3 linked regions of the Rhinolophus ferrumequinum genome follow. The protein of the gene in region 2 interacts with the protein of the main gene of each other region in a pairwise test. Links are inferred from orthologs where the notes say so. Each region holds a gene or a part of one and is shown on either strand. Other genes may lie near its edges.

Evidence for each region.
Region 1: the proteins of SIAH1 (region 2) and ATN1 interact in a two-hybrid assay, tested with the Homo sapiens proteins (2 studies listed by BioGRID and IntAct). The link is inferred for Rhinolophus ferrumequinum from reciprocal best matches to the Homo sapiens genes SIAH1 and ATN1.
Region 3: the proteins of SIAH1 (region 2) and CTSK interact in a two-hybrid assay, tested with the Homo sapiens proteins (2 studies listed by BioGRID). The link is inferred for Rhinolophus ferrumequinum from reciprocal best matches to the Homo sapiens genes SIAH1 and CTSK.

What each region holds. Positions count from the first base shown.
Region 1 is NC_046293.1:24,077,736-24,081,480, forward strand, and holds the start of ATN1 (atrophin-1), read left to right. Parts: upstream 1-1,091; 5' UTR 1,092-1,275; intron 1,276-3,745. UniProt on the Homo sapiens protein: Transcriptional corepressor. Recruits NR2E1 to repress transcription. Promotes vascular smooth cell (VSMC) migration and orientation. Corepressor of MTG8 transcriptional repression.
Region 2 is NC_046298.1:3,727,085-3,730,829, reverse strand, and holds the start of SIAH1 (E3 ubiquitin-protein ligase SIAH1), read left to right. Parts: upstream 1-1,410; 5' UTR 1,411-1,933; coding exon 1,934-2,024; intron 2,025-3,745. UniProt on the Homo sapiens protein: E3 ubiquitin-protein ligase that mediates ubiquitination and subsequent proteasomal degradation of target proteins.
Region 3 is NC_046305.1:50,976,937-50,980,681, forward strand, and holds the start of CTSK (cathepsin K), read right to left. Parts: upstream 2,846-3,745; 5' UTR 2,691-2,845; intron 1,186-2,690; 5' UTR 1,185-1,185; coding exon 1,062-1,184; intron 598-1,061; coding exon 475-597; intron 390-474; coding exon 234-389; intron 1-233. UniProt on the Homo sapiens protein: Thiol protease involved in osteoclastic bone resorption and may participate partially in the disorder of bone remodeling. Displays potent endoprotease activity against fibrinogen at acid pH. May play an important role in extracellular matrix degradation.

The sequences.
Region 1 (3,745 bases), on a different chromosome or scaffold from region 2:
TCATCACTCCCAAATTCTTGTATTTCCTATTCTTTTCCCAGCACCAGTCACCCCCACACTCTCTTCCAGAAATCCCATCCTCCTATATATGTCTCCATTTTTTTCAATTTCTTCCCCTCCTATGATCCCAAACTTCCATCCTGTTTCTCTCATAATTGTCTCCCCAAACTATCCCCCTACATGTCTGCCACAGACCCTGTCACCTCAAGCTTCTTTCATCTCTCCTTGTCACACCTCATTGCCCCTAAAGCCCCCATGTAAAGCCATCTTTCCAATCTCACCCCATTACCCCAATCTCGGCCACATACCCACAAACTCCCACCTCACCTCTCCCACAGACCCTTTTGCCCCCTAACTTCTCCTGCCTCCCCCATATCTGCCCTTAAAACCCACAGCCCCTCCTATCTAGCCCTCTCCCGCTCCAGGCCAGCGGGCTCCCCACATTCCGCCTCCGCGAACCCCTCCCCGCGCCCCGGGCCCCCTCGGCCTTGGTCTCGGCCAACTCGCACAGCGCCTCCCCCTCTCCGATCCCCCTCTCTCCCCCCTCGCAGCTTGCCTGGCGCTCCCTCCCTCGCGTCTCCCTCCAGGCCCCTCTCTCCTCGTTCCTCCGCGCTCCCTCCTTCTCCCTCTTCCTCCCTTCTCCCATCCCCCTCTCCCAGGCTCCCTCCCTTCGCCGGCCGCTTTCCTGTGCGAGTCGCCGGACGCGCCGCCCAGCCCTTCGCAGCCCCGCGTCGGGCCGGGGCCTGGGGCCGGGACCCATTACTGGGGACCACTGGCCTCGGGGAGGGGCTAGCAGGGGGCGAGGGAGACGACCGCCCGGGAAGGGGCGGGGGCCGCGGGCGGAGGCCGCTTAAGGGGCCGGGAATCGCTCGAGTGCGGGCCGCGCGGGGCCGGCGCGGGCAGCGGGCGGGAGGCGGCGGGCAGAGGCGAGCGGAGGGCCGGCGGAGCCGCGGGGGCGAGTGGAGCGGCGCCGGCGGGCGGCGCGGCCCGTGCATTCCGGGCGGCCGGGGGGAGGTGGCGGGCCTTGGGAGGGGCTGAGCGAGAGCCGGGATCGGGATTTGTTCCGGGGCCGGCGGGCGATCGGGACCAGGTGGGGGGAGGAAGGGGGATGGGGCCTGCCCTCCGAGGGGGTCGAGGCCGCCGCCGCCGCCGTCGCGGCGGCGACTGAAGCCGGGAAGAGGAGAGGGGGGCGGGGAGCGGCCGCCGCCGCCCCCCGGAGGCACCGGAGCCCGGAATCGCGCTCGGAGCCAGCCAGTGGTCCGGAGCTACTAGCAGGTAAGATCTGCCGCCGCCCGGGCTTTGGGCTTCCCGGGGTTCGGGCCCGCGGCTCCCCACCCCCACCTTCTCTCTGTTGCCCCTCCCGCCGCCGCCGCCTCCATTTGTTATTTTCTCGATCCGGTCCCCCCACTGCGGGCACTGTCTGGCCTGAGGCTGGGGGCTCGGGGTGGGGCCCGACCCCAAAGAGGAATGGGGGCCAGGGCACCCAGAGGATCGGGCAGGTGGGGGTAGGTGGGAGGGTCTCAGGAGGAGGGCTGATGGGTCAAGAGGGTAGCTAGGACCCTGGGACCAAAGAGGAACACGGAGGGGGAGGATTGGCAGAGGAAAAACGGGGGATGCCCGCGAGGGAGCTTCGGGGCGAAAGCAAAAAGGAATGGAGAGATGGCAACGAGGTGGGGAATGAGGGCTCCAGGAAAAGCCCCAAAGGCCCAGAACCTGGGTTGCAGAGCCCAGGGTTGGGAGTGCTAGTTATGGAGGAAAGTGGGAAATGGGGAAGGGGTGTGGTAGATGGGAAGGGAGGGCTTGTAGCTGATGAGGGAAGAGAATGGAACCTGGGGAAACAGGCTGGGAAAGGGCCAAAGAGAGGTCCACCTTTGAGAAGACCCCAAGGTGTTCCCGGGTTGAAGTGGGAAGGCAATGCTTTTGTGACTCAGTTTTCCTTCCTCTACTCCAGGTCACCTCTGGTCTCTTTTTCCCCAATTTCAGACATAGTTACTTCTTGGAGAAGGAGTACACTGGGGCCCAGTAGTGTGGGTTCTCCTAAAACTAATGAGGAGGGAGGAACACTGAAGGGAGAGTTAAGGAGAAAGGGTTTCTGGGAGGGTGGAAACAGAGGAGAGAATTGGGTAATCTTATAGGCACTCCAGACAAGTTGTCACCTCCACGTTCAAACCCGCAGAGCACCCACTGACCCTCTAGCTGTGGTTTCCTGGGGGTGGGGGTGTCTTCATTGCTGTTTAGAGCTCAAAAGATTTCCATTTGTACATGGGTTTATTTCTATTGGGGTAGGTATTTTTAAGCTCTCTTCTCTGAGGGTACTGTAAGGAGGGTAGGAGTTGCTTTGGCAACTGGAGGGAGAGTGGCTGGCAGATGGACCCCTGGGATAGACTCTTGAGGGGCAGGTTCTGCCATTTCGTTACCATGGCAATGATCCAGTGGGATGTCCAATAGGTGGAGGTTCAGAATCTTGATTGGACCTCAGCCTTTGGCTATGTCCTTGGGACTCTTGTCTGGGTTCTGGAGGATGTTTCTGGTGCTGCTGGTGGATAGGTTACCTAGGGAGTCCACCCCTTCCCATCTAACAGTCTGTTGGACATAGATGTGTTACTTGCCTGTCATCATGTTTCTCCAAGTTCCTTCCCCAGGCATGGTGGGATCATGGAAATGCTCTATTCAAGTTATACCATGTTTTGGTAGTTCGTTCTGACTCTATCACCCTTATTATTAAGGGTCTTTTTATGTACAGTAGTCGTTTTGCTTCTTTGCACTGGTAGTCTTCCATTTTCTTAAACTTGAGTCTCCTTTTCCCAGTCAACCTTTTCTTCTTTCACCAGAGTGACCCCTTCCCTCAGCTAACCTTTGACCTATATCCCTGACCTTGTAGAATGGCTGGGCTTTCCAAGCCCATACCAGGTGAAGGAGGCCCAGGGGAGAGGGCTGTGGAACAGCTTGGTGCAATGGAAATGCTCTGGAGATCTGGGTCTAGTCCTGGCTGTACCTCTAACTGTGACCTTGGGCAAGTCACTCCTGTTTCTTTGATCCTCAGCTTCACTGTAAGATGAAGGGGTTATAGATGATTTCTAAGGCCCCTCTGACAATCCTGGATTCCTTGGAGGTTTAGGCCAGTGCATTGTTACCTGCTGGTCTGGGCTGCACTGTTATCTAGGAATCTCTTTGGACTGGTTGTTAGTCTGGCAGGTCCGGAATGATGAGGAAGGATGGGCCAATGATCCTGAAATTCACCCTTCAAGCCCTTCCCAGAAAAGCCTTGTGCTTCTATTGTATTCCCTCTGACATCCTTCTCATATTTCTCCCTTAATTTTTTTTCCTGTTCTTACTTAGAGACACTTTTCCTATTTCTTACTTTTCCACTTCCCCAATCTGGTCTTATCATTTTCCTTTTGCAGTAAGGCAATGAAGGTGAATGTGCTTAGTGTGTTGCCAGACACATAGTAGGTGCTCTATAAATGTTAGTTACAGTGACTGGCTACTAGGGCAAGATGGAGTGTAGCTCAGTTTGCTAGTGCTAAAACATGCCCCTGGTTCAGACACATAAATACAACCCTAACATCTTTGCTGCCCCTGCCCCTCCTTACCACAGGATTACCTACCCATTTATGACTGCTTTTTCTCCTTCAAAGCTACTCATTGCTTATTTTATCAGATTTCAGCTGATTAAAAAAGTTGGGTGGGGGAGGAGCACACTAGGATTGCTCAGGTACATTCCTGCATTTCTCTGACCTTTTGG
Region 2 (3,745 bases):
AGTTCCAGATCTCGAACTCTTGGTGACCTCAGGCAAGTAAAACTTGGAGGTCTCAGGTGAGTCCTTATGTATTTTGGAATATGCGGTATCTGTGATACACATAAGGTACCCACCTCTTAATCTAGACAAAAGCCCTGTGAGGTTGGAAATACTGTCCTGGTTTTACAGCGGAGCAGGCAGTGAGGACTGGTTGGAATCCGAGCGTAGGTGGCTCCTCACACGTCTACCTCTACTTCCTGACTCACTTGGTGAGAGGTTTGTCCACGGCCTGATGGTTTGCAGACCGTGCTGTAAGGCTCTGTACGGCCCTTTGCAAGTTTGGGGGGAAAAATGAATTGTTTTTCTTTGCTTCAGGCATCAGTAATCTCCTTGACTTGTTTATACATTTGGGTGCTGTCTTAATTATTTGGAGAGTTTTTCTGCCTAAAATATTTGAAGTCACCTGCCCTAGAAACCTGAGACCTGTCTAGAATGAATATGTATTAGAAAATAAAAATGTAGGTAATAGTAATTTATATTTGTCAGTAGACTGTTTTCAATTATATTTCTAATCCTAATGATGTTTTATATAGCCTAATAGTAAAATAAGGTGAGGTGGCTGAACACTTAATTAATAGCGTGGGAAGTGATTCGATTTAGAATTTGCTGCTGGCAGTGGGTGATCTACAGTCTCCTGCGCGGGGTTCAGACCCCACTGCCTCCCAGCTCTTGCTGCCTTTACAGGCTGCCTACGGGTGATGTAATGACAGGTTACACCTCAGCATGCTCATGGAGGCCCTGGGCTTTATGGGGCAAGGGTGATGCTTATTTAAAAACAAAACAAGCAGCTCGCTTTAATGAGGCCTTTGGCTTTCCCAGAGTGGGAAGAGAAGATGGTCTCCGCGTGGAGGCTGAGGCCGGAGTTGCATATGGTTCTGTGTGTTTACTGCTCTCCCTGCAGTCTCTTGGAAGGGAGGGGAGTCTAGAATGTGGTCCTGTCGGGTGGAAATGGAGAAGTGAGAACTGAGGAACTATGGTCGCTGCCGCCTGGTAAGCACGTCGTTGCTGGGAGAAGCCCAGCGCAGTCTTTTACTCTAGAAGACCTCGGGGTTCCAAGGGTTAACCTGGGAGGGCTGTGCAGTGCAGATAAGGGCTGGGGCTGGCCGCGCGTTTCCCGGGCTCTCGGGAGCTCTGAGTTTGCAGCCACACGAAGTGACCGATTCCAGTTACGGTTCCGAGCGTTTGGCCTCTAGAAACCCGGCCTGTTTGGCCCTAGATGTTAGCTGGTGGCGAGGCCGAGGGTAAGGGGCTCGGCCCCGCCAGGTCGCAGCTGTGCGACCCGGGGGCGGGGCTTGTGGGCGCCCCCTCCCTCCCCCTTCCCCTCCCCCTCCCCTCGGGGGTGCTGGGAGCCTGGGCGCTCGCACTCGGGTGGAGACTCGGGTGGAGCCGCCTGTCCCAGTGGCGGCGCCACCCGGCCCGGCCTGGCCTGGCCCTGGGCTCCCCGGGGCTTCCGCGCGGCGACTCCAGAGCCAGCCCGCGAGCGCGCCGCCTTGTCCGGGGCCGCCACCGCGCACCTCTGGCCCCGGCCGCCCTCCCGACAGCCAGCCAGAGCCTGGCTCGGGCATCGGGGTAGACAGACTGCCGGTCCCGGGCAGTCGAGGGCCCGGCGGCCCAGCGCGGCCATGGCGCGCGGTTCTGGAGACGCAGGCGAATTGGAGCTCGGGGAGGTGTGGTCCGCTCGCCCTGGGACGGGCGGGTCTTCTCGTCTCTTCTGGTCTCTGCCTTCTGCCTCGGCGGCCCAGGCCTCTGAGCAGGGAACGGAGGGGCGGGAGCCGGGCGCCTCCCTTCGCTTCTTGACAACTTGACCGTGACGTGTTCAGGAACAGAAACTATTCCGAGGGGCCTCTGCTCCAGACTTGCTTCTGGGGGGAGGGCCGCGCGCTGCTGGCTTCTCATGACCGGGAAGTGTACCTTGCCTTTTCTGTACGCCTGGAAGGGCGTCTTACTCACCTGTTTACCGGCCGCTCGGACCAGGAAGAGGAAAGGTACTGGCGTTTCAGGGACTGGGAACCGGGGCGCTGTAAGCCGGTGGGGGCTGGCGGCCAGGGACGCGCTGCAGCAGCGCCAGGGGCCTCGCCGCGCTGTTTCTGTGGCTCTGCTGTACTTTGCTGTTTAAAGCAAACTTCAGCTTACGCAGCGCTGCTGCACAGGTGTCCTGAGTCCTGGCTTCCGCTCCGCTGCAGGGCTGCTGTGCGCCTGGGATTGTCTTGTGTTTGCAGGTGGAGCTGGGTCTCACCTTCGGCGCTTCGGGAGGCTCCAGCTGCTGCTACCCTGTGGCCGCATTTCACTTAGTTTGAGTAGGAATTTAAATTGTGCTTCCTACAATGTTTGGAAAAATAATAAAGACATATTGTAACATGAACCCGAACTATTGATGATGATGAATGTATAACTATTTTGCTAGGCCTAGAAATTCAACAGTAGTGTTTTTCTTGCTTGGTAGTCACATTATGTTGCATACAAACTGAGTTTACTGACCCTCGCTGTGACTGATCAGCCCTGTTGGTTTAGTGGTTTGAAAGGCATTGGTGGCTTCGACTGTTTTGGGCACTTTCCAATATTGCTGTCACTTAAGTGAGCAGCCTGACGTGGGCCAGGAAGGCATGTGGCACGTACAGGGCATTTTCACAATGCTAAGCCCGTTCTTTCCCACGGGACCCAAAACTCGTGGCCCAGCATGTGCACCTAGAATCTCCTCAGGGAAACTTGGTGAACAGGAGAGCTGCTTCTGAGCCCTTTTGTTGGGCTAGGACACCTGGTTATAGAGCATCAGATGACAGCTGATTCCTGCTGTCCTAAATCTGTGTGACGGGCCACATCAGGGTGGAATTCTGCTATGCTTTTGTTTCCCCTTGAACTTGAACTGTTCCTGTAGTGGCATGGAATTAATCTTTTCTGGCACCCTCACCCCCCATTTAAGGTATCTATTCTTGAGTAATATAACCCAAGTTGCATTTACATGGTCATATTGGTAACCAGCATTGTTTTTTCAACATTATATTCTTTGCAACAGAATGTAATGATTATAGCTGAGAAAACATTAAATTTGAGGCACTGAATTTAATTTTGTTAAAATATGGCTTCTATAGTTATTGGGAGTACATACACGCTTAGACCATCAGTAGATGTTTTGTCACTCCAAGCCAAAGGTAGACTCCTGGGGAAAAGTTCTATCTTTCATTCCACTCTAATGCGTCTTTTGGAGCAAAAATTAATATAAGACTGGGTCTTTTACTATATTATATAAGACCCGGTCTTATAGTAAAATAAGACCGGGTCTCATATTAATTTTTGCACCAAGTGACGCATTAGAGCTGATTGTCTGGCTAGGTCTTATTTTCGGGGAAACATGGTAGTTACATTGTTCGTTTCTTCCAGATGACATTTATCTCTTAAATGTTTATTTATCACTGTGCTGTTGAATGTTTCAGCGGCAGTGGTGAGCCCTGGGGTACGTCGTGCCAGCTGACTGAACCCCCATCCGCAGCGCTGTGTCTCTCTTTCTGGTGCTTTTATCTTTGTTCTTTATTTGCCTTCTCTTCCTGACTCCTTTCCCTTTGCAGATTATGTCTGATTTATATTGTGGAGTGGAAGTAGGATAGAAAGATTTATTTTCTGTAAATACCAGACTAAAATGGAGGATGGATGGCCCTCCATTTATTTCTCCTCTATTCTACTACCTCACTTTTGAGGGGGCACTGGTCAG
Region 3 (3,745 bases), on a different chromosome or scaffold from region 2:
GGTGCTTATAGCACCACTATTTGTAAAAAAGAAAATGCATAAACAACCTACATGTACAAAGCTGGAGATGAGTTACGTAAATAATGGAATAGGCTATATTCTCTTAGCATGGGGAGAGGTACCGTCATTCCTTGCCCCCTCTTCCTGGGGCCCCCGTACCTTAAGAACAAAGCAGCAGCGAAGGAAGAGACCGTGCCAGTTTACCTACCCACACCCAGGAGACTGGAGGGTACCTGGTTTTTGACGGGAGTGACGTATCCCTTCTTTCGATAATCGATCGAAGCTGGGACTTTGCCTTCCCAGTCTGGGATGTAGAGGGTGTCGTTACTGCGGGAACGAGATGGGGGTACTTTGAGTCCAGTCATCTGCTGAACCACCTCTTCACTGGTCTGGGACAAAGAAGAAAGAGGCCAGGCCTAAGCAGCGACCTGAGGCCAACAGGGCAGGTAAGCCAGGTGTGGAGGCTCAACTCACCATGTCCCCCAAGTGGTTCATGGCCAGTTCATAGCTATGGACGCCAAGGGAGGCCTCAAGGTTATGGATGGAAATGTGCTTCAGGTTTTTTTCCCAAATTAAACGCCGAGAGGTTTCATCCACCTAAAGAGACCACAGTCAGTACTGGCCTACACTGCGTGCGGTATACAAAGTCACATGATGTAATACTGTGGAGGTTTTTAGGAGAAAAGATTCAAGTTCCAGGGATAGAGTTTACCGTCTAGTTGGGCAAATGACCACGGGATTATTAAGAGCGTGCAAAAAGAAACATGAACAAATAATTGAATGCAAAGCTCTGGAGAGATGGATAGAAAAGTTGCTTATGGATTATCAGCATTCATCTGAGAAATCGTCCCAAAGGAAAGAGAGAAGGCAGTTGTAACAAAAAGGAAGGATAGGACTTGATGGAGGGTAAGTCGAGGCGTAGGAATGAAAACCACATGTTAACAGTTAGGGGACGGGGGCAGGGTTGCTTGGCTGGGGTGGTGAAAGTATTTGGACAGAAGCAGGGAGCCTGGAGGTCTCAGGGTTCCCCCCCTCAGTGCTCCCCTCCGGGTCCTCGGCACCTTGCTATTATACTGCCTCCTGTAGGTCTTCTTCCACAGCTCCCATTGCGTGTCCAGTATCTCCTCGGGGGTTAGAGCAAAGCTCGCCAGGGGCAGCAGCAGAAGAACCTTGAGCCCCCACATCCTGGGAAGAGGACAATTAGAGGAGACTCTTCTATTTGCCAAGGAGTTCCTAGCCTGGCTTAGGATGAGGAGATAGCTACCTGGAGACATAGTCCCAGACAGGTGGTTCTTCACCTTTGGGAGCCATAGACTCCTCTGAGAAGCTAATAGTTTTGCAACCCACTATAAACCCTCTCACCAGAAAAATGCATGCACACACAGTCATTCTGGGGAGTTCCAGAACCTGAAGTGCAGAACCCCTTCCTCTGCTGTATGAGGCTTTATGAGGAAGGTAGACAGAGAACAGTGGTGGTCAGGAGGGGTCTGGGATTGGATGGGGTGCTGATATACCTGGTTCCTAGTCATTTGACCTAGGGAGACTCAGGGCACTCGCGCGTGCGTGCACGCACGCACACACACACACACACACACACACACACACACAACTTCCACAGACAACTAGAAACAGGGTAGAAAATGGACCATCAGCATGGGCTCAGCATTTGTCTCGGTGCCCCCAGCAGCCTTGGAAGAGACGGACAAGGTAAGTGCAAGGGGGATGAAGGAGGTTGGAGAACACACAGAGGAGAGATTTCCAGCTAAGTTCTGCACCCTGACCACTTCTGTCAGGCATTCTTCTCTTCAGTGGCTAAATTCTTTCACTTTTCCAGAGCTTAGCAGGAGTCGACAAGGGCAAAGTTGACCATATTTCCTATTTTCTAACTGAGAGAATGGATTTCCTGTTTCCTCAACATTCTTAGCAGTTCTTCTTTCTCTTCTGGTTCCCTCCTCAGGCAGGAAACTGTCCTAATCTCGACCAGCTGCTGTGGGAAGGTTTTTGGTGGTTTTTTTTTCTCTGACAACAAAAAATCTCTGTGACCGCCTCCCAGGCCAAAAAGCCTCAGAACCAAAGTTTGTTAAAAGAACATAAGACAGAAAAGCAACGTTCTATGACCATTAAATACACAGCTTTATAGAAGTTTGGTCTAGCGTCGCTCACTTCTTGCAGTGGCTTACTTATGTGCCCTCCATTTTAAGAACAATTTATAGTCTTGCATAACTTTTGAATTTATAGTCCATTTTTGTGTGCTCTTTGCAAACTGGCAAATAACCAGCAGGACATTTACTATTTGGATTGTTAGGGGCTTTGAGACGTCACAGATTAGGAAGTACTGAGCTACCGTCTCCCTGCACCACTCCACCTCCCCCCACCACAAGTTAACCCTTTTCGTACCTTTGGCCAAAACAGAAAACCCCACAAAGAGGTCCCCCTTTGAAGGATGGGTAAAGGATCCCCTGTACTCTTGGCTTTCACTAGTAACCACGTATACATACAAATCACAAATGCTTTAGAAGAAATCCTAAAAATTTCCAGGCAGATTGTATACGGCCAGGAAATGACCTAAGGGCATCATTTTCATCCACGCAGCCTTTTGAACCCCAAGTCACTACACCCCTAACACTTCTACGATGCAGAATTGGCAGGAACGAAAAGCTAAATGTACTAGGAAGTCGAAAAAACGTTACCTGCTGGCTGGGATCTGTTCTCTGGGCTCGTTTCTGCAGGGAACTGTGGATAATGTGAGCGGATGACTAGGGGTGCTGGATTTATTCCATTGGAATTGCGGAAGTCAGCTCCAGCTGTTGGTCGGAAAAATTGGATGGGAAAGAAGGGAGGGTAGAAATGCTGAGAAGGGGGCACGGGGGAGAGGAGGAGGTAGTGGATTTGCATGTTTCTGCATGGAGGGTTGCTTTTTTTTCAGTTTCACATTGCCTCTTTCTGAGGGCAGACCAAAAAATAGTAAAAAAAAAAAAATCCCCCAAATTACATTACTTAAGTTGGGGATTATCTTCTCTTTAGTAGCTAGAGGGACACACTTCTGGTCTCCCCCATCCTTCTTTATTAATTATATTGGGGGATCACATGTTTTCCTGATCTTTCCATCACCGTCTCTTTGAAACTTGTTTTGTATTTGTCTCTGACGTTCCCACCAGAGGAGAGGGAATAAACACAGAAGGCTAGGAAAGAGTCGTAAGGGAAGTCAGAGGTTCCAAAAGCATCTGTATTTTATAAGCTTGTTGGCTAAGTCGTTGCTGCTTCATGGAGGGTATTAGCTCTCCCAGCCAAACATGGTTTTGCTGAGGAAGCATGTGCCCAGAAGGTCCAGATGAAACCGGTTCTAAAAGTAACCCAAAGCAGTATTCCTGGGAATTTCTGACAGCACATGAATCAATGGCATAAGCACTGACAAGCTCACACGTGACATCCCTTACTAAGCTCTCAGGTGGTGGGATGCCTGATGAAGAGTGCCTGGCTGTTACTAAAACCCCCAGCCCAGGTCATCTGAGCTTCTCCACATACTTCCCACATACTTCCCCCAACACCCAGGCATGTGACAGATCATGAGTCTAGCTCAGTCCCCAAACCACACCCCCAAACTCCATTTTCTTCCATAACCAGATGTGGGGCAAGAGGAAAAGAGGGTCCTTGGAGCAGGAATACATGGGCTCTGGATTCAGTTTCTGGCAGGATTACACACGTATTCCTCAAGAACGCAGTTCTCTGCCTCTGGGTTTGAAGG